3 linked regions of the Bombyx mori genome follow. The protein of the gene in region 1 binds, or shares a complex with, the protein of each later gene. Links are inferred from orthologs where the notes say so. Each region holds a gene or a part of one and is shown in the gene's direction. Other genes may lie near its edges. The genes, in order: GPI transamidase component PIG-S, phosphatidylinositol glycan anchor biosynthesis class U protein and GPI transamidase component PIG-T.

Region 1 (4,085 bases):
ACATTCACGTAGTGAGACAGATTAGTAAGGTATTGAGCAGACTGTGCGAATTATTTTTTACTTATGTAGAATAATGTCGTGGATTTTTTTATCGTAATTAATGATTTTTGTGGTTTATTTGAATAATCGCCTATCAATACCAACAACGGGAGCCGTAGCCAAGTTTCTCCCTAACATGAAACAGTCTCTTGAGGGCTATGAATATGATTTAAGGTATAAATTCACTTTTAACATACAGAAAATAATTCTTCCCTTTCGATTACCAAAAAATGATTTAAAGATCTTGTGATTTAAAGATGTATTTTTAAGTATTTTATACATGTAATGAACTACACGCATCAATGTGTCACAATGTATTTTTGTGAAATTTCATACTGGTGCTTTTGAGAGCCTAAATGAATAAATACCTATTGTCTGTCTAAATAAATTCTATTGAAAATAGTCTATTGTCTGCTGCGAATCAATAATAAATTTCAATTTCTAGTGTTGGACTACTATACAGTTGAAACTTAGACCTCACATTTATCAAAGAGTGCATTCCAGCAGTGATTGATTTCCATACTTAGATAATTACTTAACACAAGGTGAGCCGTAAGCTCGTTCAGTCATCTCAGCAAAAAATGTGTTAAACATTAGTTATGAGTTAAAAATAATTCAATTACGACAAAAAATATTTTGTCGCACTTTAATTCACACGTTTTTTTTTCTTATTGCTCCCTGATGCACGTATTCTGAACATTGAAGATACATAACCAAAAGACTTTTTGGCGAGAACACGAGAACTGAAGTTGTGTCATTTGTTTTATTTTTTCTATTTAATGTTTCTTCAGGTTTCAATGTGTAATAACGGTGGTTTATTAACTGTGAAAGTGCGCAAATGTGGGAAAATAAAACAAAGCCGCTGGATGTAACTTCTCGGGATCCTCCAAAAAGTCCACTGAAAAAATCTCAGTAAATGGCCACCATATTACTGAGATTATATTGCATACCATATCATCTCAACTCATTTTATTTCATTTCACTTCATTTCATGGCAAGTTTCATATTAATCAACTTCATTTCATTTCACTTCATAATATTATCATTAAGAATTTAATTAAAATAAGACTTGACCTAAAGGTCTTAGATACCAGGTTATAAAATCCCTATATAAAATAACAATCAAAAGATAATGCAAATGACCTTATTTCAGAAATTATATAGAACAGACAAGGCTGTATGGGCTTAGATCCTTTTGCCTTTCCTAATAAGGAAAAATTGTACAAAAAAAAAACGATGACCAACATAACAAAAATAAATGTCAGTTTCATAAATTTGTTTACTAAAACAGCTGATAAACAGTAAATGTGGTATTTTTTCGATTTATAACATACACTTTGAATTCATTTTGAAGGAAAAATAGTGAACAGTGATTGTAATACACCTCGTAATAGTTAGCAATCAATAAACACGGCCAGTGTTGAAAATGGGAAGTGAAAATAATATAAGCAATGCTGATGGTAAGTCATATTTGTAGTTTAAACCCAGTAATTTTACATAATACAAATGATCTTATACACATATATGTATTCTGGGACAAAATAAAGACAATTTTGGCCAGGATAATAAGCATAAAATGTTTTTAAATTATAGGTTATAAATTTGTAAATGCTTTAGGTAAGCAATCTAACAAATATTTAGATTTGATGTAAATAGCTACAATTATATATTTCATTGTAATAACAGATATCATATATTGACCTCGTCACACAGATCAATTTGTTAAGGTTAAAAATCAGAATTTATGTGTGTGCAATAAATACCGTTTAATATCAACAAGATTTTTGTCTTTAAAGAAAATGATACACTCATTATTTGGTTAACTGGCTTCTTCTACTTTGTCTCCACCTTATCCCACTAGGTGGGGTCGGCACAGCGATTTTTTCTGTTCCATTTTCTTCTATCAGCCGTCATCTCAACACTCACTCCTCTCTCTCTCTCATATCGGGCTGCCCAGGACCTATCATTGTGGTGACCCTTGTGCGAGGCCTATCTAGTGGATGTCTATGAGCTCATGATGATGAATGATCTTTTATAACTTTATTCTCATATTTCCTTTTCTTCCTTCTGTTTTGGGCTTTTATTATACTTTTTATATTTATGTATTTTAGTAATTATTTTATGTTTTTTAACTTAATTGAGACTAGTCTCAATCTCAAGGTGGGAGGCGAAAAGATATAGTGACCTCAAAAATAACATGCCCAGTTTCGAATCGAACAACTGCACGCAGGTCAAAAAAGATTGAAATATGTAATTAATGTGTTCAGAAATGACTGCCAAGAAGAAAAAATACATTGTATATTAAAATCAAACCAGCAAGTAATATTTTTCATGATTATAGTAGTAGGGTCTCGTGTGAGCCTTTGAGGCTTTGAGCTCATGACACAGCGTGTGGCGGTATTCTGTTGTCATGTCTCTTAAGCTCCAGTAACTAATCAAAAGCAATTTAGGCTATGAGCTCAGTCATCGAACTAGGCAATAAAAAATAAGTTAAAATCATGATTGACTAAATTATTTGCAGTAATCATGGTTGACTAAATTATTTACTGTACATTTTACTATTGCATCAGCATAGCTAAAACATTTTTCATTACATTTTATGGTGCTTAAATTATCAACATTTTATCTAATGTACCTAAATCAAATATTTTGCCAATGTAGCTAATATTACTCTCAAAAACATGAAAATACTATGAGACGCAAATAGAGAAACAAATAGGTACCTGATACTCAGATTTGTGATTTTCAGGGCTAGCGGTGGTGGTTCTTATTTTCCAAAACAGTTATAGATTTAGAGCTTACATGATTGTGACGCCTTCTTTATGGAATCTAATTAATCCTCCTTGAAGGTGTATGATTTTCAAAAAGTTTACTGAACAACGTATTTTTGAATTTAGAACTCACGAACGACCCATTTGCATTCCCGCTTCTTTACGCGCACGGCACGACACGAGAACCCTCTCATCGTGGCCGCCGGTAACTACATTCCCGATCCTGCGGACAGAATGGAAGGCAGTCGACGTCGCCCAAAACACGTCATGTCGGATCCTCCCGATGCACTAACGGTGCTTTTAGGTACTTCAAGCACCGGTCACCGTTCTCGTCGAACCCGTCGCTTGCGACGAAGGGCTCGACGAGCAAATTAACTCTCAGACACAGCCCACTGAGTTTCTCGCCGGATCTTCTCAGTGGGTCGCGTTTCCGATCCGGTGGTAGATTCTGCGAAGCACAGCTCTTGTTAGGGTTCGTGTTAGCAACGTCATCAGGTTTGAGCCCCGCGAGCTCACCTACAAACGTTAGGGTTACGCGGAAATAGCCTCTCAAGGCTCTCAGCTTAGGTAGGAAAAAAAAAATATATATATACGCGCAACATACAAAATATTATAGCATACAACATATAAAAGCTAAATTCAACCCGTTTTTTACCATCGTTATCGCATATGTACTTACTAATTTTCTTTAAAATTGTACAGTGCTCGCTTCCCGTTTGCTGCTGAGAAACCCGTTTCTTGTCGACCGGTGTGCTTAGTGCAAGTTTTTTAACGTTCTCGATAGCGTAAAAGTTAACTCAAATTTGTATGCAGTTGGAACAGCGTCCCTAGCGGCAAACGTAGGCAAGCGTTCCAACTTTTACGTTATCGATAACGCAAAAAAACTGGCATTTAGAACACAGAATAGGGTATTTATTTCTCAATTCATTTTACGAAAAAAGAATTCGGTTTCTTTAAATGGTATTTACAGTAAGAGCTAAAACATTTCATGATCCATTCGGGATGCTCAAGGCGATGAATTTGTTTAAATCTATTCGGAATCCTCTACATCAGCATTCCTTAATAATACTATAATTTACGTAATTGATGCCACGACTGTATGCCAATATATGTTTTGCTTTTATTTTCTCTTGCTCACAAATTGCTTTGGGATGTTTGAATATGGCGATAGATATGTTGCCAATTCTTATGTAAGTTGTTTTTTTTTGTAGATTATATGGCTGGCAACGGCAGTATGGCAAATGAAAGATATGTTACGCACATAACAGTGGTAGT
Region 2 (4,014 bases), on another chromosome or scaffold:
GTTGCCAGTATGTTAAACCTTGGGATCATCTTACTGACAATATGACAGCTTAAGTCGAACAAACTGCCTAATTTCAAGATACACCTATTTTAAATAGTAAAAAGTTTTTAGAAATTTAATTATGAAATAACTGGTTGGTTAATATGAAAATAGGATATGAAAATGCATTTTGAGCCATAAAATATCCTTCAAGCAGGTTTCGATAACATACTGATCGGTTCGCGGTGCCAGATATACTTAAATCATTTTCAACCTAGTAATATATATTTTTAAATTGTCAATCAACTTTTGGACAATTTTGGTGTATGGGATGGCTCTGAAAAATAGCCTGGAAACTCGTGTATGGCCAGACGCAGCCCAGACGAGTCTATGGTTAGCCTGATTATATCGTCGCTTATTTTTGTAGTGTCAGGTTTTCAGCTGAAACTACCTAGTGTAGTATGCACTATAGCACACAGTAATTATTGTAATTATTAATAATTTTGAGAAAATAAATAATATATGATGAGAAATAGAGTTTTGTTTGTTATTTATAATACACATTAAGATCCACCTACAAGCAGCTTACAAAATTACATACAGAGAAAATACCAAATGTCTTATTATATTATATCTGACCTAACCGACCTGGCAACACACAGCTGCCATCGCCATAAGATATTGAGTATAGTTTTGATTTGTACTTCGGTGGAAATTTTGTTTATCCCGAACCCCAGGGCGTAACATAATATACATGTTACAACTAAAATCTTAACGTCGGGGCTTTAATTCTATACTTAGAACGCTACAATTTTTTCGGGTTCGCCATTTCTACAATCAAGATGCTAAGGTGACAAATAGCAAGGGAAGGTCTTCCACCGATCATGTGCTAAAGAAAACGAGCGCGAGCATTGTTCATCAGAGCTTATTAGACAAGAATGTGACTTCCTTTTTATAAAGATTTTATGGCCTGATGGCGGTGATACAATAATCTACATGGTGGGGTCCACTAATATAATATAGTGCATGTTATTATCTAATATATATTTATCCATTAAATATCTAAGGATTACGTTTTTACAAGACCATCTTACATATTCCCTGGTGCAATAAATAAATTTTCACTTTTGTTTTATGGTTGTCTTTCGTCCGTGGTTGAAAATAGACTCGAACAATATATAAACTCTTTGCTATTTCTGTTCAAAAAAAAGACAGTGACAATGACAATGACAGTTAGGCTTGTTTCCTTTCCAATGTCGAACGAAAAGTCAGAAAAGATAGTAATTGGGATGAAAACGAATTAAAACGATTGAAGTAGTATATATAACGAAGTCAATATTATGTACCACATACGTCCTTTACATTGCAAATATTAATAAGTAATTAATCAAAAAATGGGTGCGGTTGTAAAATATGTAATAGCCGGCTTAGTTAGGTATTGGCTTATTCATACAGACTTTTGGCATACACTATCCAATAGGGTAGAAATAGCGACTCCCTTAAATTCATGGAAGAGGTTAATTGAAGGTGTTTATTTATACGACCAAAACATTAATCCGTACGAAGGAGATGCTTTCCACGAATCACCGATAGTGTTAGTGATTTTCCATTATCTTTTAAAACATGTCCCGTATAGCCTACCATTTATATTCAGTGCAATGGACCTCCTCACTGCGTATCTTCTCTACAAAACCTCGAGAGGTTTTGTCAGAATCTTCCTTAACTGTCAAGAGAAATATTTATCAGATGTGTCTCAGGAATCAAAGGATATGGTTATGACAGAAAGTCAGTTAAAAGAGACATCTGAATATGTTCTGTCTGTCTATTTATTTAATCCATACTCTATATTGAACTGTGTTGGGATGACAACAACAGTTTTGCAGAATATGTTGTTAGCTGCAGCACTTTGTGGTGCGGCTCATGGATATGTGATAATATCCTGTGCGTTCTTAGCCTTTGCTACTCATCAAGCATTATACCCTGTCTTACTGATAGTACCAACGGCTATGATATTGGCTGAAGTGAACAAGGGATGTAATAAATGTTCATATATTAAAACATTGTTGGCCTTTGTTTTGAGTTGGAGCTTTGTGGTTTATATATCTGCATTTATAATGGATGGTTCTTATAATTATGTTTACAATACATATGGTTTTATGTAAGTACTTTCTTCTAATATTAGTCAGTCATAATTTTATTTTAAACTAGATAATAGAATAAGAAACTAATTAACTTTGTATTTGTAACATAATGGTATGGTAATGGTAAGACATCCAATGTACTTGTATCAAATGTTAGAACTATGTTAAGATTCAATGTTGTCATGAATACAATTACCATTTAAATATGTAACTAAAATGTCATCAATACAAAATTTTGACTGTTCACACAACAAAATGAAATAGAAATAATAGCCTGTAAGAAACTTTAAAGTACATTATTAATATTAATAGTTCTGTGTGTGAATTTTCACCAGTAGACAGAACCATCTTTGGCTATGTACTGTAAAGCTTTTACCCAGCAGTCCCTTAAGACTTACTGTTAAACTATACAATTGAGTCTCATTATCAATGTGATTTCTACAATTTCTATTAATCAGTAAATACATAGTGCAGCAATAAAATAAAAGAAGAGTAGTTGATTTTGAATTTCTTTGAAAGTGTCAATCGAATTATATAAACATATGTATACTCATAATTTCATATTTAACATGTTTCCAGATTGACTGTTCCAGACCTAAAACCAAATATTGGACTTTTTTGGTACTTTTTCACGGAAATGTTTGAGCACTTTAGATTACTGTTTGTATGTGCTTTCCAAATAAACGCCCTGATACTGTACATAGTACCATTGACTTTGCGATTTAAGAAGGAACCAATATTATTGGTGACTGTGCTATTAGCACTGTCAACTGTATTCAGATCTTACCCTTGTGTGGGTGATGTTGGCTTCTATATGGCATTCATACCAATGTGGAAACACCTTTTTACATGTAAGTGCTATTATATAAGATAATAAAATGAAGAAAAATATTTTAAAATTTATGATGCACTCTTCATTTCCATATAATTCTTATCGCTAATTCTTATAGTTTAAAAAATAAATTTTTTATTTAAATTATTCTTTATTGCCCTTCATTCAGCTATTAATAAAAAAGATAAAGCATAAGAGCTATTTATAGAAAAATATGAATTTTTATAATTTCTGAGTTTACTCATAATCTTTATATATATTTTTCAGTTATGCAACAAAAATTTATTGTTGCCTGTGCATTCATCATTACTTCAGCTTTGGGACCGACAGTATGGCATTTGTGGATATATTCTGGATCAGCTAATGCCAACTTTTTCTTTGGTGTCACCTTATCTTTTGCAACAGCACAAATATTCCTTATAACTGACTTATTGTTTGCGTATATTAAAAGAGAATATACTCTTAAGAATGGATCTTCGAGGACCATTGATGGAAAACCTGCCAAATTAGTTCTGCGATAATGACAACTGTAAACTGAAATGACAGAAATATGCATAAAACTTGTACAATGACTTCTTATGTGTAGCTTTAGCATTCAGAAAAAAAAAACTGTTATGCAGATGTCTGAATGTTACATTTGTGCAGTAATATATTACATATTGAAGACCAAAAAATTTTTTCATTCTTAAGTAACATCTCCATATCACCATTTCGTTGAATAGAGTATGTTGATCAGTTGAGACAGTATACATTCATTCAATTCTGCATTTAAATTAGTAATTTTAGGGTATTATAATATAAGACAAGAAGCAAAGACTTGTATAACTAATGACTGTAACTAAATTAATGATAAAATGCATACAATCTTTTAAGTACAGCTAAAATATTTTCTATATCTGACTGTCACTTAGTACTATTCAATATTCATAATTAATATGTATAGTTACTTTATTAGTCGAAGAAAGAAATATTTTTTAGCTCATGTGTTCATTTCGTTACAACTTGTTTTTTAGACATATTTGATATTGCTTTAAAGTTATTAATATTGTATTTGACTGTTAT
Region 3 (3,901 bases), on another chromosome or scaffold:
TTTGATTATCTAGACTTAATTAACTTTTAGATAACTTTCGATTAAGTACTCTAGTAGGATTAATCTAGAGGAGTTATTGTTATTCGAAATTTTATACAATTGTACGTTCATACTATCTTTTAACAGTAAATTGTTTGTAATATAGGGAAATTAAATAGCTTACAGAGAATTACAGCTTTTTATTTAAAAAAACTGTTTTCTCTCTGTATGAAAAGGTCTTATCGATTAGAATGCTGAACACAATCAAACGTTCTTTAATATTTCATAAGTACTACCGGGAATTTCAGCGATTCTAAACGATAAGATTTTTTCATAAAGAGAGTTAATTATAAAAAATATTAAAATTACTAAAAAAGCCACCTGGTGGGGGGTAGGGAGACTAATAATCGACAGCAGCGACGCCTGCTGTCCCGGGCTCTAACTAAAGCAAAAATAAAAATGAGAGTTGCGCATCTATCTCAAATATATTAAGTGTATAATCTATGCCCGAACTGTCAATGAATGATCGTAATAAACAATCATAGACCTTAGGTTTCCTACTTCAGTGTAAACAATTAAATGAGTGACATTTTCAGTAGATACCGTAAAATGGGGTGATTAGGGATCGAGAGGTGAATGGGGAAAAAACCAGGAAAATCTTTCGACGCGCAATACTAGTTTTTTAATCGTTGCAAAATCTTCCATTTTTTGTAGTGTAATAATATAATGAGATGAGATGATATGGGATGAAATATAATCTCAGTAAAATTGTGGTCATTTACTGAGACTTTTTCGTTGGACTTTTTGGAGAATCCCGAGAAGTGACGTCCAGCGACTTTGTTTCATTTTCCCACATTTGTGCACTTTCACAAATATTAAACAGTTAATAAACCACCATCATTACACATTTAAACCTGAAGAAACACCAAATAGACAAAATAAAACAAATCACACAACTTCATTCCTCGCGTTCCCGCCAAAAAGTCCGCTTTACTCCAATTTCCCCAGTATTGCTAGCGTCAATTTCTTTTTTCTCTTTTCGCCATCAGATCCTGGTAGACCCATAGAGTTACTACTCTAAGGTAGGTACTTACTTGTAGGTACTTATTAACTCCATGGGTAGACCTATAATATTATTATCTATGGAGTTTATTTCAGAAATTATATAGAACAGACAAGACTGTATGGGCTTAGATCCCCTTGCCTTTCCTAATAACGAAAAATTGGACCAAAAAAATATATATCTATGAAGCTAGATTGCTATTATCTATGGAGCTAGATAGATAAAGTTAAAAATTAAAAGCCGATTTGCAAAGAAATAAGAATTTAATTATGCTCTTTGAATTAAATTGCAATATATGTATGTGTTAGGTATAATCAAATTAAAAGACAAATTTAAACAGGATGTTTAACTCGAAAAACTTTCTGTTTTTTATTGCCGTATTCATTGAGACAATTTTTAACGCTAATGGTGATTTATTTAATGAAGAGCTATTTATTAAACCTCTACCACCGGCACACCTTTACACATATTTTCAATTTACTACCTTAGTAAATGATAACCTGTCATGTAAGTGCAGTGCTCACTATTTAGCAACTATGTTTTTGTATGACGGCTTTTTTATAAACATAGTTTTGGATATTTATTTTACAAAAATGTTTTCCAGCCGAGCACACCTATTTAGCACCTAGGTCTTTGGTGGAAGTGTTGACACGATTCCAAGTTGATGAACTGCATTTCACACTAACCGAGGGGCAGTGGAGGCATAATCATTGGGGTTATCCTGTGCTTGATGCAGCTCCTGGAGCAGAACTATACGCTTGGTTTTCCTCAGATGTGGAAAATGTTGATACACAATGGAAAAAATTAAGTTCCACCCTTGCAGGACTGTTCTGTGCATCTTTAAATTTTATTGAAGATTTCAACACTATAACACCTCAAATGGCATTACAACCGACCGGTGCTATACCACAAAATCCTAATATAACATCACAGTTACGCTATGCTTCTCTGCCTAGAGAAATTGTATGCACAGAAAACTTAACACCATGGAAGAAACTTCTTCCTTGTGAATCTAGTAGAGGGCTTTCAGCATTGTTAAACTCAAGAATGATACACAATACCAATTATCATTCTATTGGAGTTCATACAAGAAAAGTGTGTTCATCTAGTGATTGTTCAGTAGTGAGCCTAGAGATAAAGCAAACGGTAGCTTTGGTTTATGATTCTAAGATTATTCGAACCACTGATTGGTCTTTTACTAAATTATTTGGCCAAGGGTTGCCTGGTGGATGCCCTCTTGCATCAAGTAGCAAAGTGTATGTAGATATCACCACCAATGATACCCAGCCATTCCTTCTATCTCCAGAGCCAGAAAAGGTTCTACTGTCACAGCGAGGAGGCAGTGAAACAAAACTTGCTCTGTACACAATTAAACCTGAAAACAAAATGACTACTATTGGAGCCAAATATATCAGTAAGAAAGATTTGGTTCTTATGAAACTGCCCCCACTTTATTTCAATCGTTATGTATTAGGTTATGGAAAGGAATTTGGAGGTATTGTGACTGAACTGACCAATACTTTTTGGTCCTCCATTGATGTTGTTGTATTGCAGAATGCGCCTTGGTGGTTGCCTATTCAATTAAGCTCTTTAAGAATCAACGGGGAAGCGTCAAGTGAGATGGTGTTAGCTAGGCATTATTCACCTGGGCGTAGCAGACAAAAACCTTATCACTTGGAGTTACTGCTGAGGCTACCACCTAAGTCAGCAACTAAGATAACTATTGATTTTGAATTCGTATTCTTAAAATGGCAAGAGTATCCACCAGATGCTAATCATGGCTTTTATGTTGGGTCAGCAATAATAACTGCTAATTTACCAACAGCAAGAAATTATACTAGTTTACCAGGGACTGCAAGCTTATTTGAATCTTCAATTAATGCATCAAAACCATGTAAGCAAAAATAGATATTCAATTTTGACCTAAACTACATTGTAAATAGTTTTTGTTTTGTGTTCCTAACAATAATATAACTTCCCTAGATTTTGGTACAATTTAGTATTTTCCCACAAGTACATTACAGCATCAGTTCATACAATTCAGCAATGTCTAACTGCATTTTTTTTTTCCAGGGTATCCTGCAGTATTTCGTACTAATGGTGTGATGGTATCATTACCAACACCAGACTTCAGTATGCCATATAATGTGATATGTCTTGCTTGTACAGTTGTGGCCCTTGCTTTTGGACCTCTGCATAATATTTGTACAAAAGAATTAGTTCTCAAAGTTGTTGGTTCTTCTGTTACTTTAAAACAAAAGATTATTAATTTATTTAAAAAGAAAAAGGAGTGAAATTTTCATAAATTTGCAATACCAAATAAATTGTATAAATAAAATAAAAAAGCTTTAATAATTAATTTATTCTGTTTCACATAAGATATCTATAAATAAAATCCTATAATTGGAATCTCAGCTAGAGGGAATAAGCCCTGATAGGAGGAACACTTTAATTATTAACTTAGAGTGAAGAAAATCGTGAGAAAAAGGAAATAAAAATAAGTCTCTCTCAGAGGAGCTCAATAACAAGCATGGACACCTTTTTTTTTTCTTTTTTTTTCTTTCGGGTAGAAGGCCGAACCTCCTACGAGGTCCCCGCGCCTAGGTGGCGCGCGGGGTATGTGAGACTCAACGATCTGCAGGTGTTGAGAGCAGATCGCGGGCCCAAGGGTTTTAGGTCCCACCCACTAAACGACTCCCCTGCACTCTTACACCCGACGTCCGAAATCCGTCCGGGGTCAGAACCCGTTCAGAGTAGAGGGGTTCCCGCGGTCAACACTACAACCAGACACGCGGCGCCACCCCGAGGACGCCCGACCGACGGGTCGTCGAGGCGATAGTCGACGACCAACGACGTCAG

The links.
Region 2: the proteins of GPI transamidase component PIG-S (region 1) and phosphatidylinositol glycan anchor biosynthesis class U protein are in contact, whole or in part, in a cryo-EM structure (PDB 8IMX), measured with the Homo sapiens proteins. The link is inferred for Bombyx mori from reciprocal best matches to the Homo sapiens genes PIGS and PIGU. Residues at the interface, in NP_149975.1 of Homo sapiens: Ala4, Gly5, Ala8, Thr9, Glu12, Arg15, Arg18, Ala19, Phe22, Phe23, Val26, Leu30, Leu34, Trp35, Thr38, Thr39, Leu510, Leu511, Phe513, Ile521, Tyr522, Leu525, Phe526; in NP_536724.1 of Homo sapiens: Gln118, Phe282, Glu283, His284, Phe285, Leu287, Phe288, Phe289, Cys291, Val292, Phe293, Ile295, Phe299, Tyr300, Ile302, Pro303, Ile306, Lys307, Lys309, Glu310, Thr417, His418.
Region 3: the proteins of GPI transamidase component PIG-S (region 1) and GPI transamidase component PIG-T are in contact, whole or in part, in a cryo-EM structure (PDB 8IMY), measured with the Homo sapiens proteins. The link is inferred for Bombyx mori from reciprocal best matches to the Homo sapiens genes PIGS and PIGT. Residues at the interface, in NP_149975.1 of Homo sapiens: Thr9, Glu12, Val13, Gly16, Ala19, Ala20, Phe23, Thr230, Pro238, Lys239, Tyr244, Ile247, Glu248, Val251, Gln256, Val270, Asp271, Ser272, Gln273, Ile274, Tyr276, Tyr277, Met279, Ser309, Arg310, Ser313, Ser314, Ala315, Ala316, Phe513; in NP_057021.2 of Homo sapiens: Pro26, Arg27, Val63, Ser64, His65, Tyr66, Arg67, Lys71, Gln75, Lys79, Tyr80, Val133, Gly136, Lys191, Leu193, Pro194, Cys195, Ser196, Lys198, Ala199, Glu270, Pro271, Pro273, Leu274, Tyr526, Ile529, Cys530, Cys533, Val536, Ala537.

The regions. Positions count from the first base shown.
Region 1 is NC_085122.1:2,213,907-2,217,991, reverse strand, and holds the start of GPI transamidase component PIG-S, read left to right. Parts: upstream 1-1,285; 5' UTR 1,286-1,465; coding exon 1,466-1,499; intron 1,500-4,085. UniProt on the Homo sapiens protein: Component of the glycosylphosphatidylinositol-anchor (GPI-anchor) transamidase (GPI-T) complex that catalyzes the formation of the linkage between a proprotein and a GPI-anchor and participates in GPI anchored protein biosynthesis.
Region 2 is NC_085111.1:9,170,809-9,174,822, reverse strand, and holds the start of phosphatidylinositol glycan anchor biosynthesis class U protein, read left to right. Parts: upstream 1-1,212; 5' UTR 1,213-1,373; coding exon 1,374-2,137; intron 2,138-2,699; coding exon 2,700-2,971; intron 2,972-3,219; coding exon 3,220-3,473; 3' UTR 3,474-4,014. UniProt on the Homo sapiens protein: Component of the glycosylphosphatidylinositol-anchor (GPI-anchor) transamidase (GPI-T) complex that catalyzes the formation of the linkage between a proprotein and a GPI-anchor and participates in GPI anchored protein biosynthesis.
Region 3 is NC_085111.1:7,583,280-7,587,180, forward strand, and holds GPI transamidase component PIG-T, read left to right. Parts: upstream 1-1,151; 5' UTR 1,152-1,383; coding exon 1,384-1,549; intron 1,550-1,646; coding exon 1,647-2,936; intron 2,937-3,115; coding exon 3,116-3,336; 3' UTR 3,337-3,401; downstream 3,402-3,901. UniProt on the Homo sapiens protein: Component of the glycosylphosphatidylinositol-anchor (GPI-anchor) transamidase (GPI-T) complex that catalyzes the formation of the linkage between a proprotein and a GPI-anchor and participates in GPI anchored protein biosynthesis.